Ovis aries: one gene and its partners. The protein of the gene in region 1 interacts with the protein of each later gene in a biochemical or structural test. Links are inferred from orthologs where the notes say so. Each region holds a gene or a part of one and is shown on either strand. Other genes may lie near its edges. The genes, in order: PBX1, PKNOX1 and HOXB1.

Region 1 (3,588 bases):
GACCAAACAAGTAACAGAGAGGGAGTACAGCCCCACCCATCAGCAAAATGGATGCAGTTTAAGTTCCCAATTTCCAGCATTGCTGTTATTCAGAATATGTAGGTGTCTATGAGAAGTTTCTTAAGGAAAGTATTTTTATCACTAGTCTCTCTTAGAGAGCTTCAGTCTATTCCATGAAAGTACCAGAGAGGACAAGCCAGTTATTTCGCTGTCTACAGACACCCACACTTGCTCCATATTAAGTGGAGCTGAGTGTTGCTCCAGTAACAGCCTTGGGCTATGGGTCCACATCTAGATTCCAGGGTAATCTGTCCCTCCTTGGATGTGTGACCCAGATATACCATCTGACCTCTCTGACCTCCATTTCCTCACCTGTATCAGAACGGAGAGGACGGCATCCATGAAAGTGCTGGAACAAGTACAGTTAGGTTGACAAAAGTGCTTTAGGCATTTTGGAAGAAGATGGAAGAGCAACAAGGAGGGGTTAGATCAAGAAGACAGTCTGTTCTTCTTTGTTGCTGGCAACCTGAGCTACAAAGAAAGCTAGTTTTTAACACCATCCAGCCTAATACCCATCTCAGTTGTAGGTTTGGGAGGAAGCCACACTCTGTGCCCCTGGAGTTTCCTGGTGGCTCAGACGGTAAAACATCTAGTTGCAATGCAGAAGACCCGGGTTCGATCCCTGGGTTGAGAAGATCCCTTGGAGAAGGGAATGGCAACCCACTCCAGTGTTCTTGCCTGGAGAATTCCACGGACACAGGAGCCTGGTGGGCTACAGTCCATGGGGTCGCAGAGAGTCCAACACGACTGAGCAACTAACACAGCCTGGAAACCAGGTCTAGATAGGTGGTTATGCCAGAGACCAAGCTTAGTGGTGAAGGTACAATGGGAAAAGCACGGCAGGGGGGAACCAAGTGGCTAGCTAGGGACCTTTACAGGAAATGTCCCCGTGAGTCTTCCCAAACTATCCCCTTGGTTGGGGCAGGCTGTGAACTCTAACGTGATGGCCCAGGCAGGGAACGTGTCATGGATCCACCAGCTTACCTGAGCTGAGCCTCTCCTGGGGTCTGATAAAATCTCTGCAAGAGTCTACATCATGATAAGAATGTCTATTCTTCCCTGAGAGGGTCGAGGGTGATGATCCACAGGTTCTTACCACAAAATGACTTTTGTTTTGCTCCCCTTCACATCTCCCTACACCTGTCCTGTGGCTGAAATTCACCACACTTGGCTTCCAGCTTCATAGTAACCTTCTTCCCTCATAAAAGAAGAAACTCTGTAGAAATCCATTTCAAAGGTAGATAGGAGTGCAATAATGAAACTTTCTCCACTTTAAATTTTAAAATGCCCATTTCTATTTTAAAATTTATATATTCTATTAAGTTTGCATTTGCCTTTTACTTAGACTGTCCTAAGTGGATGGTACAGGGTCTTCTACTTTTTGATTTTTTTTTCTCCTTCTTCTTCTATGATTCTTAAAAAAGAAAGCAAGCCAGAAATCTAACAATTCTATGGAAGCACATTAACTTAGAATTTCAGGAAAATGTCACATCCAACAATATGACAACCAACTAATGTCAGCTAAATAATGGGAGGAAATCCTGATGTTAAAGGACTCCTAGTAAAATAGTGTTGCTCATACTGACCAGAGGAAACAATATTGACATTTAAATTCATGTGTGTGTGTGTGTTGGGGGGGGCTCTAGTAGAGAGGGGTGCTATTAGAATACCATACAACATCTATATACTGTTTTGTGACTTAAAGCCTTTCTAAACTTGTCCTTCATATGATCCTTTTATGGCTCTCTGAGAGCTTAGGCTCCAAATCCACAGCTCTTTGCTGAATACTACCAGCTACTGAGGCACAGAATGTGGACCACTGGGTCCCACAGACCATCAGCAGCATGTCAGGGCTGGGAGTCAACTCTGTCCACTCCCAGGGGTCCCCTGAGACCCTCTACTTTTTTTATAGAGGGAGATGCGTATCATATTACATACTATATATGAAAGTCAGAGTATGATGGACTTCCATTTGAACTAATCTGGGTAGAGTGAAGGAATTTAAGGCCAGGTTTTAGTATCCGTTCCCATAGGCTTCCATGAGCACTGGGTCGTGAGGCATCTTCCTAATTAATGAGCCAGAGGACCCTCCTCACCCCTCCCCCGCCACCACCAAACACACACACACACACACACACACACACACACACACACACACTTCCCCAGCTCACCTGGAGGCTCTGCAACACCGAGAGCCCCAGAGCTGCATGCCAAGGGACAGTGCTCTGGAGCGCCAGGGACTGTTTCTGTACATAGACTCAGTTTCCTAAAATCATCAGTTGAATCTATTTTTTAAACTATTTTTTAAGTGATCTTGTCTCCAGTTTGCCTGAGCTTTCAACATTGGAGACCCTGGACTTGATGGGCTCAAGCTCAACAAGTGGCTCTGGGGAAAGGCCAGAAACACTGGATCCCGGATGGCAATCTCCAGGAAAGGCTAAGTGCCTCGGATCCCTCCTAGCTCAGAGTTCTTGATTTCTCCGCCCTGCCCTAAAGGGCTAGGGGGCCCAGACCCCACATGGCTGTGAATACCTGCTCGTATTTCTCCAGCTCCGTGTGGTAGATTTGTCTGATCTGTGAGAGTTTGGCTCTGTAATCGGAATGCTCCACTGAGTTGTCGGAACCGGCGCCTCCAGAAGCCGCCGCCGCCGCTGCTGCCGCCGCGGAGCCCCCGCCCTTCTCCGGCCCCGCCACCCCCTCGGCCAGCAGCATGTTGTCCAGCCGCATCAGCTGCGGGTCTGTCGGCTCCTCCTCCTGGGCTCCCCGGATACTCAAAACTGCAGGGAGATACAAAAGAGGGGGGAGGTGTTGACAGTAACCCAACGGAGTAACATTTAAAAACAACAGGAAACTCCCAATGTATGATTTGGCTGAAGAAGTCTCAAATCACTTAACAAAACGGCACCTGAGCAATGGGCGTGAAGAGGGCTGGAAAAAGAGAGGGATGGGAGGACTAGAAAATGCAAGGAGAGTCTGATTTGTTCCTGAGATTAATTATACTCCTCTTATATGAGGTGCCTAGAATAGTCCAACTGATGGAGACAGGAAGTAGACCTGTGGGTACCACAGGCTGGGAGAAGGGGGGGATAAGGAACTAGTAATGCATCCGGTCCCATCACTCCACGGGAAATAGATGGGGAAACAGTGGAAACAGTGTCAGACTAGTTTTGGGGGCTCCAAAATCACTGCAGATGGTGACTGCAGCCATGAAATTAACAGACGCTTACTCCTTGGAAGGAAAGTTATGACCAACCTAGATAGCATACTGAAAAGCAGAGACATTACTTTGCTGACTAAGGTCTGTCTAGTCAAGGCTATGGTTTTTCCTGTGGTCATGTATGGATGTGAGAGTTGGACTGTGAAGAAGGCTGACTGCCAAAGAATTGATGCATTTGAACTGTGGTGTTGGAGAAGACTCTTGAGAGTCCCTTGGACTGCAAGGAGATCCAACCAGTCCATTCTGAAGGAGATCAACCCTGGGATTTCTTTGGAAGGAATAATGCTAAAGCAGAAACTCTAGTACTTTGG
Region 2 (4,352 bases), about 150 Mb from region 1:
TGAGCTGTGCTGTTCCTACTTCCTCATCACCCTTGCCCTCATCACCAGCATCATGAGGAAGAAAAAGGGGGGCACCTACATACTCCTAGGAAGGGATGCGCTGACAGCAAATCCACTGCTAGTGCAGAGGCTCTTAACTTGGTCTCTGTGAACCTGAATGAGAAAAAAATCACATCTTTATAACGTCTGGCTGAAATTTAGCACTCATTCAATTCCACAGGTAGTCGCAAAATCCTGGAATTTGCACAGCACCTGTGACTTCTTCACTAACAGAAACTACAAATATTTTCACAAAACATTAGCACTGTACAAAAATCTCAAAGTGTCACTTATACTCATCAATACTCAAAAAGAATTAGATCTGGTGTTCCATCTGTTACTACATGAGCTAATAAAAGCAGGTAAGGAAATTCATTACAAGTTTAGTTCAATACTTTTGATAACTGTTGCTACTGCTAAGTCACTTCAGTCGTGTCCGACTCTATTCGACCCCATAGACGGCAGCCCACCAGGCTCCCCTGTCCCTGGGATTCTCCAGGCAAGAACACTGGAGTGGGTTGCCATTTCCTTCTCCAATGCATGAAAGTGAAAAGTGAAAGTGAAGTCGCTTAGTCGCGTGCGACTCTTAGCGACCCCATGGACTGCAGCCTACAAGGCTCCTTCATCCATGGGATTTTCCCGGCAAGAGTACTGGAGTGGGGTGCCATTGCCTTCTCCGATAACTGTATTTCAGTATAACAGGTTATTATTATTATCAAACTGTATTTTATAACTGTATTTCAGTATAATAGGTTCTCTTCCTGATCCTATTTCATTTTTTTAAAAACGTTTGTGCCAAGAGGAGGCGACCAGAGGTCTGGGGAGGGCAGGAAAGGCCCCCTGGGGCGCATGATTTGCATCACTCTAGAGGTTTCAAAGTGTTCTGAACAGTTTCAATTAGTTAGCAACAAAAGAGAGAGTTACGCTAGAATGTTACTATTCCCCCAGTACCTTTCACTGATCCTAAGTGGTACTTTCCTAAAGCTACAACACACTGAAACAGACATGTAAATATCTGTGCCCTAGAGGACAGCATTAACACCAGTATCATTAGTGTCTGCACTTAGATCATCAGCATGGGGTGTTCACCTTTCCAGTCCTGCCTCATCCGATATTTCACCAACTGTAATCCCCACTTGTAAATCTCTGAAGTAGGAAGGGTCCTTTGGAAAGCCCTGTGTGCTACAACTCTATTCCACAACCGTGCTGAACGAAACGCACGACTCTCTCCACGCTGGGAAAGTGAAGGAAAAAACCGATAAAGGCAAATTGGAGTCAGTGGGCCACCTTCCAAACCCACGTACACCTAGATTTGAGAGCATCACCAGCAACTGTACTGGCAGAATTTTCACATTTCACTTCGATTTTTCCACACAGTATTCAGAAAACACTGCATAAAACATTATACAAGTACATAAGCCCTCTCTTAATATGTCAGGAGAAATCATACAAGTATATCCAACAAAAGCTGAGGGTTTCATTTAGCATAAAGCGGGAAGTATCCCTACCAGTAGCTTCTACTGAAAACTAAGTCTTAGGATCAAAATTGTTAATCACAACCTCCTTACAAACGGCAAATCTACCCTGGATGGTGCAGGTCTGCGATCAAAGTTACCGAATGCACATTCGCGTCAGTACAGGTATTCCCCTCCCCCTCCCCAGCATCCGCCTTCCGCCCTCACCCCGGGACTCCGACCCGGGCAGCACGCACTAAGACGGATTCAGGAGTCGTGCATCACAAAGGAAAGCCTAACGGGCCCAGCCTCTGAACCACTAACGACGCCGCGTCCCAGCAGCCTCTGCGCTGAAATAAAGCAGACTCCTCTTTCCCTGCCTCTCCTGAGGTGACTCACGACCTCTCCCTCAAGGAATGTGGGAGCCAGCGGGCGGCCGGGCCGGGCCCCACACCGCCGTCCTCTAGCTCTAGTCGGCCGTTTACCACCCGCGACGCCTGTGTCACTCGCTCCAGACACCGCGCACCCCGGGCTCCCTAACAACCCGGGACCCGCCGGCCACCGCCCGGCCTCTGGGACCCCGGAAGCCCGAGGAGCGCGACGCCCCCGCCTCAGGGCCGCCGAGCACCCCGCCGCCGCCTCGCGAACGCCCGCCCCGCGCGCCCCCGAGCGGCCCCGCCCCCGCGCCCCGGACGCCGGCCCCGCCCCCGCGCGCGCCCGCTCCCCGCCCCGCCCCCGCGCGCCCCCTCAGCCCGGCCCCCGCCCCCGCCGCGCGCCCCCGCGCCCCCCGCCCCTCCCGCGCAGGGGCGCGCGCCGCGCTCCGAGAGGGACGGTTAGGAGCGCGCGCTTCGCCGCGGGCCCCGCGCGGCGGCGGCGGCGGAGCCTTCCAGAAATTTCCGCGTCCCTAAGCCCACACCGAAAAACAAGCGGGGCGCGCCCCCGCGCCGGCCCGGCCCTCAGCGCCCCTCCCCGCGGCCGCTGCTCCCCTCCCCCACCCGCGCCCCCTCCCCGCCCCCTGCCCCGGGCGGCAGGTCCGGCGCGGCCCTCCCGGGCGGCGGCGGCCCGCGGAGACCCAGCTGGCGGCGGCGGGGCGGCGGCTGCGGCGCCGGCGGGCCGGCGTGATTGATAGGGACGGGGCGGCGGAGCGGCGGCGGCGGCGGAGCGGTTGAGTGACAGCTTACCTGGGTGCCAATCTTCATCACACTGACAAGCGGCTGCAGCAATCGGGACCCGCAGTGCCGCGCCCGCGTCCAACCGTCACGCCGACGCTGGGCCACGCGACACAGCCTCGCTCAATGGGAGGAGGGCGACGCCGACGCGCGCCGCATCAATATTCACAGTGAGGGCGGGGCCTGAGGGTCCCGGGCCCCGCCCCGTCCCTGCGCCGCGGCGGCTGGAGGCGGGGCCTGGGCGCCGGGGGCGGAGAGTGAGCCGGGGGCGGGCGGTGGCCGGCCCCGCCCCCGCCTCTCAGTCGGGACCCGCCCCCAGCCGCTGGGCCGCGGCGCGAAGAGCGGCCCGCCCCTCAGGCCGCAAGCCCCGCCTCACTAGTGTGGAGCTGGAGGCGTGGCCTGCTAGCGTCACGCCCCCTCCGCTCTTTCCTCAGAGACCGGGGGAAGTGTGTGGAGCGGGCTTGGGTGGGCGAAACCATCTGCGATGGTCAGGCGGGGAGGGAGGGCCTTACCATCCGCGGGAGGAGCCCTGAATGCGCGCCCTGGCGATGCAGGGCAGGCCAGTCCCGGGCTGTCCTCGGAGGCCAGGCCGTGCGGGCATCTGGCGCCCAGGCCCCTAGTCTGCGCGGCGCCCCCTTGGTGTGCAGGTCCGAGGCAGTCCCCTGCTTTCTTCCCAGAGGTTGCACACGTGCGCCCCGAGAGCGGCGGCAGTGCCCAGCCACCAACCTGACCCCCGGCGCCCTCAGCCGCGGTCTGGGCTCCAGCCACCGCTGCAGGCTCGCCTCTGGTACCGCGCTCTGCCGTCAGGCACCTGTCCCCCGGTGGCCCACGCAGGCCCCATCTGCCAGTGAAGTGGTACCTCTTAGGGCGACGCGGAAAGTATGGTGTATCTCAAGGTGGACTTTCGAACACGGTGCTGCAGCGAGCCCGCGGGTCCCTCTGGTGGCCTTGCCCTCCAGGACGTTAAGGAAAAGGCAAGGCCTTTCCTACCGCAGAGGCATGGGGCCCAAACGGCTGTCCATTTCTACAGAAACATTCCTCCTTGGTGGGATCTCTGTCTGAAGAGGGGCTCGCACGCTGCCCCGGGACCCAGGACTGGAGGATGCCTGGTGATTCAGGAGGGAGTCAATGGGGAGCCGCCGGGAAGGACCTCCCTCCTGTCTTCAGGACTCCACCAGCACCATGAAGCTGCAGGCAGCCTGCGTGGTCCTGCAGAAATGCTCCGTTTTCCAGAGAGAAGGCTGTGATAGCAGCGCCTGGGCTAGGATGCAGTGAGCCACTGACCAGTGGAGAGTTGGAGGGAAGGGACCCACACAATTCAGTGGTGCAGACCAGCTACCTGTGTTTGCAGGGCCCAGTGCAAAGTCAGAATGAACGGTCCCTTGTTCAAGAGTTTCTAAGAATTTTAAGACAGGGACAGAAGATTATTATACCGGGCTGGGGCCCCAACTCATGGCACTGCTCACAGGCACCCTGAAGCAGCCCTGCCCTGGTTGGCCTCACCCTCTCCCCACCTGTGACTGAAGCTTTCACCTGGTTCTCATCAAGTGTGTGAGGCGGGAGAGGTCTCTCTCTGTCCAGGAGAACCTGGGGATGTGCTGTCCCCTGATGGCCCAAAACAAGTCCCAAGGCAGTTGAGACCCAGGCCCTGCACCCCTGTCTGGCCTCTATGCCTGGCCTCCTCTACCCA
Region 3 (4,068 bases), on another chromosome or scaffold:
GGGGAAGGGGTAGAGGGCCCTTCCCTTCGCCTTTCCCCAACTTCCTCCTCTTTTCACACCCTTTTCTGTTCTCTCCAAACAGATCCACTATTCTCCTTTCCTGCCTTCCTCCTCTCAGGAAGGTCTCCGAACTGTTTCCTCCCTACCTCCTTTCCCCTCCAGGTCTTCCTGGAGGACTGACTCTGTCAGATTAAGAAACCTAGGACCCGGTTCTGCTTAGGCCCCACCCAGTAAGTCCTTCTCTTTACCCAACTGAGATCATAAAGCTCAGATGCTTCCAGCTCAACCAATTTGCATCTATTCTTTCCTCATCTCTCCCCCAGCCCTCTTGGAGAGAGCCCGCTTAACCCCTAGACAGGAGCAGAAGATGCCGGAGGAGGGGAAAACAGACTTTATTGAAATGAGGTAGCTGGAGGTACAGAGAGAACCTGGTTGCTTGGGGCTCAGGTTTCCAGAAAGAGTGGTGTCTCCACTGTCCCAAGGTTCAGAGAAATGCTTGATGCTGGTCGGAGCTCTCCCTGCACCTGGGCCTCCCTGGGCTGCACCAGGGGTGGGGGTGGAGATGAGGAAGAAGGTCCTGGCTTTTCCAGGAGGCAATAAATAGGGGAGGAACTAGTTGGGGCGAGCCTGCGCCTTCCTGGTAGAGGCTTGCTGGGGTCCAGCCTCAAACAACATTCCAGAAGTCTCTGAAGTACCAAGTTCCAAAACACTTTGGTAGCTTCGAGATAAAGTCGCCGGGGCTGGGGTGGGGGCAGGTCTCAGAAAACAACCTCTGGAGGCCGCTAGTGCAATACAAATGTGCCAGGAGGGGGTTAATAGGGTTTGATGGGGGTGGTGGGGGGAGTTTTTTGGTCTGTCACAAGGCAGCTGGTGCTATTGTAAGGTCTGTGGCAACTAGAGAGATTAAGCATTGGTCATAGCCAGCACCCAAATACCTCCCACACAGGAAACCTCTCTGTCCTGGGCCTAGAAGGGGGAGTTAGGATAAGAGTGCATGAGAGGAGAGTCCTCAAAGCTCAAAGGCACTGGACTGAACAAATGGAAGTTGGAAGGGAAAAGAGAACCTGGGAGGTTGGGACTTGCTCCCATCCCACCCGAGGGCTGATCCCTAGATTAGAGGCAGAAGGAAGCCCTTCCCTCACATTAGACAGGTTGGGTCTCCCATGCCTCTGGTCTGGTAGGGTCCCCAGCCATCAGCACCCTGCCCAGACTGGAGGAAAGCAGTCCCCCATTCCTCCCAAAGGCAGCTCTGAACTGGAGCCCCAGCCTAAGTAGTCGAGCTGAGGCCGAGATTAGGGAGAACAGAGGAGAGGGCTGGACAGGACTCCTCGTTTCTCTGGTGCTGAGGAGTCCCGGGTGGGAGGTTTAGTTCAGGAGGTGACAGAGCTGGGCGAAGCTTCCGGGGAGGTGCACGTGGACTGGTCGGAGGTGTCTCCAGTCGCCTCCTTGGGACAGCCTGGAGGGGCTGGGGGCACCCGGCCTCCCTCCCGCTCCCGCTTCTTCTGCTTCATGCGCCGGTTCTGGAACCATATTTTGACCTGCGTCTCATTGAGCTCCAGGGTGGCAGCGATCTCCACCCTCCGGGCCCGGCTCAGGTACTTGTTGAAATGGAACTCCTTCTCCAGTTCGGTCAGCTGCCGAGTGGTGAAGTTGGTGCGGAGGCCACCTGGCGCACCCAGGCCCAGCTCGGACACCTTCGCTAGGGGCGGGGCGAGAGAAGGGCCACGTCAGTTCTCTCCTCTTTCTCCTTCCCCTCCCCGCCCCCCGCCCCGGCCAGCTCTGCACCCCCAGTCACCACTCTATCCAGCTTCAGCTCTCAAAGTTTCCGTGGATCACCAGGCACCCCTCCAGACAACCTGGAGCCGCACCCCACACTTCCACCCCCCAGCTCCCCCTCGTCGGAACACCGGGTCCTGGGCGTGCGCTGAGCACACAGATCAGGAAGTGCGGCTGTGTGTGGAGACTTACCCTTAAGGGTAACTGCGCACTCACTCGGTGGGGAGACCCCACCTGACCTGAGAGTGAGCACAGTGCTCTTACCTGCCTCTACCCGGTATGCAGGCAGGAGCCCAGCCCAGGACACCTTCGTGCAAAAGCAGCAGAGCTGCTCTGAGCCCCCAGAGAGGGGGTGGCCACGTCTGAGCCCTACCTGTCTTGGGTGGGTTCCTCTTAACCTTCATCCAGTCGAAGGTCTGGGCTGTAGGGGTGCTCGTTTCTGACGCGCAGGCCGATTCCTTGTCCTCGGAGAGGAGATCAGCACAGGCCGGTGCAAAGCTCCCTGTCTGCTCGTTCCCATAATGGGGCTGCGGTGGAGGGTAGGGCCCTGGGCCCACTCCAGCGGTTCCATAGCCATCGGAGGACAAGGCCCCTAGCTGGGCCCCATAACTTGAAGGATGAAAATAGCCTCCATCTCCTTCCAGCTGGCCCAGAGGGTAGTACTGAGAAGACCCGTAGCTGGCACTGCAGGCAGCTGGGGAGTACCCCGAGGTCGCAGAGCTGGGGAAGGGCACCCCTAATGCCGAGGGTGGCTGTTGGGCCAGATAGCCTGAGTTCTGCTGGAGTGCAGAGCTGGGCAGCCCCCCACCATAGCGGGTCTCGCCTGCATAGCTGTCAACAGCGGAAGCCGAGCTGGGGGGGAAGGAGGTATGGGCGCTGTGGGCGCTGTAGGCGCTGGGTCCCCGGTTACAGAGTGGGTACTCTAAGAAGGAGTTCATCCTATTATAGTCCATGCGTGGAGGCCGCAGGAGGGTCGGCCCGTTTAGGGAAGACACCCTCTTGCCCTACAACCTTTCGGCAGTATGTCACAGCGCAGAAGCTTGCATCCATGGCCTAACCCAGCTTGCCTGGGCCAGCGCTCCCCCAGGAAGGGGGTAGGGAGTGGGGGTGGAAGGGTGCATGTGATCTCTCCCAGGCCAATGGGCGCAGCGGGCCACAGTTTGGCAGCCCCAGCGCCCATCCATCACCCCCCAAGCATTAGCATGACAAAGACACTTCAATCACCCACAGCCCATCCATCTGAGGGCGACATGGAAGCGTCAAAAACATCTTTCTTCAAAGACTTTTGGAAAGAAGGGACCAGAGGGAGAGGGGGCAAAAGTTAGAGAAATATTCAAGACTTTCCTCCCCTCTCAGTCCCCAAGGCCTTCAATAGGCTCCTAGGTTATTAGATTTGGACAAATTCAACCCAGCTGCCCTTCATTCTTCCCACCACCACCCCCTTCACCTCACAAAGGAGCAACCCCCTCCCCAAGTCTGTAGACCAGGAGATGGGGAATCCAGCCTCCTTTGCCCAGAACTCCCACTCTGAGTTTCTTTCTCCTAATTTGGGGTGATGGGCTAGAACAGCCAAGTCAGGTATGTTGTCTTGGGCCAAATGGATGACTGTGAAGGGAAAGGATGCAAAACACCTAAGGGTGTGAGGCATGGCCTAGAATCTAGAGAAAGAATTCATTAAGTGAGGGGTGGGAAACTGGCATTTCAAGGAGCAAGACAAGATGACAGCACTGCGGAGAAGAGGATGAGAAATGCCCCATTCCCCTCTCCACCTCGCCACATAACCACTCTCTCCTCATTCACACATCCATTTCTCTCCCTCAGCTTCTTTTTATATTCTCTCTGTCTCAATCCATCTCTCTGTTCCTCCATCTCTCTCCATATTTATATTCCTTCCCTACCTATCCATCAACTCATCTCTCCGGATGTATTTATCCTCTCTCTAGCCATCCATAGCTGTAGCTGGCTCGCTCACTCAGACTCAAATAATTCCCTGTGTCTCTCCAGAGAGCCACAATGAGCACAGAGCTAGGTGATGTTTACTTACAGGTGAAGACGAGGGAATTTTTATTCTTTTCCTGAAATGTTTTAAACTAGTGTAGTGCATTCTTCTGGTTCCTTCCTGTCCCACACCCCTCTCCCCCAAAATCCCAAGCCTCAAATCCATAAATTCAATAGCAGTTACATCTTAAAGATTACTCAAGTTTCCAATGAATTTTCTAGAATAGATCAAAGGATTTTGCTTAGAGAATGGGAGCTTCCGTGTGGCAGTCTTGAGGCTCAGGAGGGGAGTCT

Evidence for each region.
Region 2: the proteins of PBX1 (region 1) and PKNOX1 form a complex in vitro, tested with the Homo sapiens proteins (2 studies listed by BioGRID). The link is inferred for Ovis aries from reciprocal best matches to the Homo sapiens genes PBX1 and PKNOX1.
Region 3: the proteins of PBX1 (region 1) and HOXB1 are reported together in a solved structure, tested with the Homo sapiens proteins (2 studies listed by BioGRID and IntAct, with this or other methods). The link is inferred for Ovis aries from reciprocal best matches to the Homo sapiens genes PBX1 and HOXB1.

What each region holds. Positions count from the first base shown.
Region 1 is NC_056054.1:116,740,747-116,744,334, reverse strand, and holds part of PBX1 (pre-B-cell leukemia transcription factor 1), read right to left. Parts: intron 2,838-3,588; coding exon 2,593-2,837; intron 1-2,592. UniProt on the Homo sapiens protein: Transcription factor which binds the DNA sequence 5'-TGATTGAT-3' as part of a heterodimer with HOX proteins such as HOXA1, HOXA5, HOXB7 and HOXB8. Binds to the DNA sequence 5'-TGATTGAC-3' in complex with a nuclear factor which is not a class I HOX protein.
Region 2 is NC_056054.1:263,841,750-263,846,101, reverse strand, and holds the start of PKNOX1 (homeobox protein PKNOX1), read right to left. Parts: upstream 2,802-4,352; 5' UTR 2,675-2,801; intron 2,146-2,674; exon of another isoform or gene 1-2,145. UniProt on the Homo sapiens protein: Activates transcription in the presence of PBX1A and HOXA1.
Region 3 is NC_056064.1:37,689,047-37,693,114, reverse strand, and holds HOXB1 (homeobox protein Hox-B1), read right to left. Parts: upstream 2,842-4,068; 5' UTR 2,730-2,841; coding exon 2,150-2,729; intron 1,700-2,149; coding exon 1,371-1,699; 3' UTR 371-1,370; downstream 1-370. UniProt on the Homo sapiens protein: Sequence-specific transcription factor which is part of a developmental regulatory system that provides cells with specific positional identities on the anterior-posterior axis. Acts on the anterior body structures.